Linked DNA regions of Saccharomyces cerevisiae S288C. The protein of the gene in region 2 binds, or shares a complex with, the protein of the main gene of each other region. Each region holds a gene or a part of one and is shown on either strand. Other genes may lie near its edges. A codon is read from its position in the direction of its gene.

The links.
Region 1: the proteins of ATP16 (region 2) and ATP15 are in contact, whole or in part, in a crystal structure (PDB 3ZIA), measured with the Saccharomyces cerevisiae proteins. Residues at the interface, in NP_010280.1 of Saccharomyces cerevisiae: His40 (codon at 1,794), Gln73 (codon at 1,893), Leu74 (codon at 1,896), Leu75 (codon at 1,899), Pro76 (codon at 1,902), Phe91 (codon at 1,947), Ile92 (codon at 1,950), Ser93 (codon at 1,953), Gly94 (codon at 1,956), Gly95 (codon at 1,959), Phe96 (codon at 1,962), Ile110 (codon at 2,004), Glu111 (codon at 2,007), Phe113 (codon at 2,013), Glu116 (codon at 2,022), Ser117 (codon at 2,025), Phe118 (codon at 2,028), Ser119 (codon at 2,031), Asn122 (codon at 2,040), Ile123 (codon at 2,043), Leu126 (codon at 2,052), Arg140 (codon at 2,094), Ala143 (codon at 2,103), Glu144 (codon at 2,106), Ala146 (codon at 2,112), Ile147 (codon at 2,115), Gln148 (codon at 2,118), Glu150 (codon at 2,124), Val151 (codon at 2,127), Leu152 (codon at 2,130); in NP_015052.1 of Saccharomyces cerevisiae: Ser2 (codon at 774), Trp4 (codon at 768), Ala7 (codon at 759), Gly8 (codon at 756), Ile9 (codon at 753), Ser10 (codon at 750), Tyr11 (codon at 747), Tyr14 (codon at 738), Leu15 (codon at 735), Val17 (codon at 729), Ala18 (codon at 726), Ala19 (codon at 723), Ala21 (codon at 717), Ile22 (codon at 714), Arg23 (codon at 711), Ser24 (codon at 708), Ser25 (codon at 705), Leu26 (codon at 702), Lys27 (codon at 699), Thr28 (codon at 696), Leu30 (codon at 690), Gln31 (codon at 687), Arg38 (codon at 666).

Annotation. Positions count from the first base shown.
Region 1 is NC_001148.4:28,063-30,855, reverse strand, and holds ATP15 (F1F0 ATP synthase subunit epsilon), read right to left. Parts: upstream 778-2,793; coding exon 589-777; downstream 1-588. Other genes in the region: ATP-binding cassette permease MDL2, read right to left, coding at 1-374; PBI1 (Pbi1p), read left to right, coding at 2,692-2,793. UniProt on the Saccharomyces cerevisiae protein: Mitochondrial membrane ATP synthase (F(1)F(0) ATP synthase or Complex V) produces ATP from ADP in the presence of a proton gradient across the membrane which is generated by electron transport complexes of the respiratory chain.
Region 2 is NC_001136.10:441,353-444,342, forward strand, and holds ATP16 (F1F0 ATP synthase subunit delta), read left to right. Parts: upstream 1-1,676; coding exon 1,677-2,159; downstream 2,160-2,990. Other genes in the region: MED2 (Med2p), read right to left, coding at 1-957. UniProt on the Saccharomyces cerevisiae protein: Mitochondrial membrane ATP synthase (F(1)F(0) ATP synthase or Complex V) produces ATP from ADP in the presence of a proton gradient across the membrane which is generated by electron transport complexes of the respiratory chain.

The DNA.
Region 1 (2,793 bases), on a different chromosome or scaffold from region 2:
AGAAGTATGGCTGTAAGAAGCAGTTTCCAATCCCGTTTCGCCAACATAAATAACCTTATTATATCTTTATAGTCATCAGTTTTAGATTGCTCCTTTGCATGTGCCGACCTTGCTGATCCTTTAGATATGGGAGAGGCTGAAGGCAGAGAAGTTTCTGGAACTGTTTTGGATGAATTACATCTAAAACTTTGTAAAATTAGTGATTTTCCAACTGCAGGTGACCTTAAACACAACCGACTGAGAGGAATGAGCTGCGATGAAGAAGGGGTGACCAAAGACCGAAACCTTATAGATGGCAGTTTAGCCAGTCGGGGACGGGACAGCATGTTTCTGCATATGCCCAGCCGCAAAAGTGGTAAACGACCATTCAACATTGCGATTGGCGATGATGGGACATATATTTCTTTTTCTTTTAATGCAATGATACAAACTTTATACCACTCTTCGAAGCGGCCAGTATTCAATATCATTGTAGTCATTATTAGTTTCCCGTATAAAAGTACGTAAGTTTTCATACACAGTTGCTAGAATATTTAAAATGTATATCAGCGAGTAAAAAAAGAGCTGCAGTTCCCAGGAAGCGTTAAACTATTTTGTTATTGGAGTGGGTTCAGAAGCTGCAGTGCCATTTTTATATTGGGTATAAAAAGCATCTGTTTGCGATCTGTTAAGAACACTAGCGGTTTGTAATTCAGTTTTCAATGAAGAACGGATAGCCTGAGCGGCCACATTCAAATATGCAGCATATGATATACCAGCTTTCCTCCAGGCAGACATTTTATGAATCGGTTGTGGGCTGAAACTGTTGATGTTTCTTAGAAATACATATCTTGCTAAGTACTCAATAGAAAGGCCTACTTGTATCTCTTCATTTAACTAGACGAAAAAGGGGAGGATCAAATTTCATTGGTTCGTATAAAAGTATTAAAAAATAAGCGCGTTGCCAGACTTAGTGTGAGATAGTAAGCTAGTAAATCATCTGCTATTACCTAGTTTAGCGTATTTCCTAATAAGGATTACCAATTCCTCAAGTTCATGGCTTGGTAAGATACAGCTATAGCTTTCTTAGTTTTTTTCTTCGAGAGAACTAGTACAATGCTTCTATAGAAGTTAAGAAGTTTACCTTTTCGAAGAACAAATATATTGTTGCTTTGCTTACTCCGAGGTTATCGACTATTTTTGGCAATCCGTTTGAACCTGGATAAATACGTAAATCAGACTTTCTTTAGCCGGATCAACTCTTTTTTTTTTGTAAGCACTCTGACTTGTCGCTGCTGTGTCTGCCAATAATTCAATAATTCATAGTATTTCATACCATATGCTTTATTTAGTGTCCCACTGATGTGAGTTGAAGAATTGTATTCAGATAGGCATATCTTAAGGTCCAACTATTGCCACCGTCGTAGTGCGGAAAGGTTGATTATCGAGCGAATTAGAGGAATAAATGCTGCTATGCGCACGATGAGCAAATCGGAAGTAAACCACGCCGCTGATCCACCTGAACAAAAGAATCTCGCGGAGTTACGATTTAATGTAGGTTTGCTCAGATTACGTTACTGATACTTTACTTTGGACAAAAGTTCTCATACAAACTGTGGAAACAACACCGCTTAAACCAACGATTATGAAATGACATGGTCTAAAGTAATATAATCTATATTAGAATGTGCAGATGGCTATGGTATCCATGCGATGGCAAACCTCCGCAATGATTGGCGTTCTAGCGGCTATCCGAATTCACAATCGACAAGAAGTACTTCTAACTTACACAAGGCAACGAAATAATATCACTCTATGAAACTGCCATTTGGGTAATAGGAGTATATTGAACGACACCGGGTCAACAAGCAACTTTCCTAAGCCTTTTACACTTCTTCACATCATTCAAGATCGCCTTTTAACGAGCTACAAACCTTCACGTTCGTTCTTCTATGGAAACGTTTAAGATAACGTTAAAACGTTCTCAATCACAGAATTTAAGATGATTAGAAATGTTTTCCAAGGGATAGGGCGAAGCACAACCTCGAAAAATGGCAAAATTTTAGAATCTTAGCCACCTTAACGTCTACTTAGAGCCTTAGAAAAGCCATCAAGATTGGTGGAATAGTTGTTGAGGGAACTTAGCCGCCACATTCTCGTAGCCAAATAAAGCGAATCTGACCATTGTATGTTTCTTTTTCACTGGTATGATAGCCCAATGTGTTTAAGGAAAGTTAGGACAACACACCCGAAGAAGGACGTCACCCCTGCATTCCCAAACGAGCTATGAAATAGCTCTTTCCTCTACAAGTAATAACAACAACTTTTTTGTCTGTTTTCCGACCGTTTAACTTCAGAGATTAATTTTTTCAACGCGCTTTCGTTGAACGTCGCAAATTCGTTTAGAATAAACGAAAGGTGACAGAAATAGAAGATTATAGCCATGCATACGCACATAAATTGAAAACTGTTTCGAGGCTGAGTATTCCCTGCGTCTGCAGCCATCAGGGGTATGACTCTGCTACACGTTTACTATATTCTTGGCTAAACGATTCATTAACGAAGCGATGAGTAGATCACACTCGGCATACGAGCACAAATTTGTATGGGGGGACGGTCATATATAAAAGGGTGTATACGTTATCCTTGTTATACCTGTCCAAAGAAGTGCATTTGTAACTCACAACACAGACACATCCTCACTTTATCATAATGACTACGTTTAGGCCACTATCAAGTTTTGAAAAAAAAATTCTCACTCAATCTTTGAATGACCAAAGAAATGGAACTATTTTTTCGAGTACATATTCAAAA
Region 2 (2,990 bases):
GTTGTTCTCGTTGTCCTCGTTGTTGTTCTTATTCTTTTCATCGCCGTTGTTATTTTTGTTGCTTTCGTTGTTGTTATCCTTGCCGTTCTTGGTGCTATTGATATTATTATTTATGTTGTTTTCAATAGAAGAAATATTTATGTCATTGTAGTTGTTACCTGAGTCATTATCGTCAAAGCCTTTGGTTTCGTCCACCGTGGCATTGAAGGCTGTGGAGTCAAAACCAGTACTGTCAAGGCCTGAAAACATCGAAATATCCATAGAGTTTAAATCGTTGAACATTACATCCGAGGGTTGGGCCTGCTGGCTTTGGATTCGAGTAGTGGTTAAGGGAGAAAATGCGGCACCGTTATTAGCAGCATTTGCGTTCTCAAGTTGTGTTTGACTGGATGATTGAAGAGATCCAAGTTCTTGATAATTCTCTTTGGAACCGTTGGCATCCGTTGTGTTCGCAGGTGCTGTTGTGGAGAAGTTCAAACCAAGGCCATTTTTTTCCTTTGAATTTTGCTGGAGTTGCTGCTGTTGGGAGGCTTCTTCGAGTTCTTGTCGCTTTTTTAATTCTTCTTGTTCTCTAACCTTCCTCATATTTTCTTGTTCAGCCCTCTTTTTTTCAGCTTCCTCTCTTTCTTTCTCCTTTTCTTTTCCGAGTGCAGTAAGAGTTTCTAAATATGAAGAACTCTGGCTTAGAGAAGTCTCTAAATCATCTAAAATTCCATGAAATAATTTAACCTTCTCTTTCAATAATTTTTGCTGAGATTGACTGAAACCATTGACGAGATAAGAATCTAGTTGTACATTTTTTAACTGTTGTTGCATCATCATTTCTGCTCCAACTTTTAGGATGTCATCGAAGCAAACAGTAAGCTTATTTTTATACGTCATTGTTCTGGTATTGCTCCCCCGTTCAGAGAAATTGGCTGTGTGAACAGACGAAACTGGGCTATTTTGTACTACCATTACTTTCAGACGGGCAGTTTATTTGGGAGGATCCGCCTTCAAATTTAAACTATCTTGAGACCAGAACATCTATTGAAATTTTGGTGAATATTCCAGCAACCCTCTCTATCCCGCTTTGAATTTCTTGATGTCATTGGAAACATTTAACTTTTCTCGTTACAAGCGGGTAATATCCTAATCATTGTAATTAAGACGTTGCTTCCCTGGGAAGAAAATAGTATAAACATAAGATATAATAGTTTTTAAAATGGTCAACGTATGCGATGCACAACTAAAAGGTACCAATTCATTAAATATTATAATATTTACTTCTTACTATTACACGAAAGACAAGTGTGAAATGCCTAGGAGATTGATGATTGACAAGCTCTGGCCTTGCAATAAAAATACTTATACACAACTTCAAATAATATAGAAAAGAAAGAAGACTATAAGCTAAAAATGTAGACAACCTCATTTAAATATTATTCTTAGGACTTGGTAATAATAGCTAATTTGTATATTATTCACCTCGGTCACCGCCTGTAATCACCTTTAACGAAAATAGATGCCCAGCCAATCAAAGCGCATTATGGAGTCGTCTAGGAAGGGGCCGTCCCATCATTGTAAAAGTTCATGTTAAATTAGATGGAGGATAACAATAAAGGTATCGTACACACACTGCTAAAAGAGCCTCAATCAATTTGTGAAGGTATAACTGTAGCCGTGAGGATAGGAAAATGTTACGTTCAATTATTGGAAAGAGTGCATCAAGATCATTGAATTTCGTCGCTAAGCGTTCATATGCAGAAGCTGCTGCCGCATCATCAGGTTTGAAGTTACAATTTGCTCTACCACACGAAACTTTATATAGTGGCTCCGAAGTTACTCAAGTGAACCTGCCTGCTAAGTCAGGACGTATTGGTGTATTGGCCAACCATGTTCCCACCGTTGAACAATTACTACCAGGTGTCGTTGAAGTTATGGAAGGCTCTAACTCTAAAAAATTCTTTATATCAGGTGGATTTGCAACAGTTCAACCAGACTCGCAGTTATGTGTAACTGCAATTGAAGCTTTTCCATTGGAATCCTTTTCACAAGAAAATATAAAAAATTTGTTGGCAGAAGCTAAGAAGAACGTTAGTTCATCTGATGCCAGGGAAGCCGCAGAAGCTGCAATTCAAGTAGAAGTTTTAGAAAACCTACAATCCGTATTGAAATAGCGTTTTTATGGTACGCATTCTAGAACTTGAGGGGAAGAAGTCTACGTTTTTAAGTGTTGACAAGCAATTCGCTTGAAAGCGCCAAAATTCATTGTTTGTTCTACTCGAATTTAAGTTTCCATTTTGGTTGATGTCTTAAGTATACAGAGAAACCGTTTATTAGCGTATATATACAGAAAATTTTATTATTTTATATTCAAAAACAAGAAAACAAAAGAGAAAACATTAACATGTAATTTTCATAACTAATAGTCCTAGAAAGTAATACTTTTTACAACTGTTTCTTTAAATCCTGTATGAAAGCCCTAGTTGCAGATCATCGTGTTATTCCAGTGAGTTTTCACTTCCCTAAGTCCTTCCTATTTATGTTTTAGTCCTTCTTGCACAGCAATTTTACTTCGGGCACTGTTGCCGTATATTCTAAAAAAATGAAAAAAACGTTCATGCCCCAGCGAAAACCAGTGTTTCCTCGTATTCGTGTCAGTAATTACACCAAAGTTTGTTCTACACTAAATCACGAATAAAGTGGGAGATTGAGTTCAACAAAATATCTGATTATAAAAGTATGAGAACAAGAAAATTAAGGAGCCTCCATAATAAGGTGCTTTTAATTGAGAATGAATGTTCATTAGTTGCTATATTGATGGTGATGGAACTCCAATTACCTAATCAAAAATATGAATGTTTATGCGAATAAGAGTTTGTAAAGAAAAAGATCCCTGTAGACTGGATGTGAGATGATGATTTCATTCCCGGCCTCTTAAATAAAAACAATTACCACTGCAAAAATGTTCTTCAAACGCGTTTATTATATAATGAAAAAGAAATTCA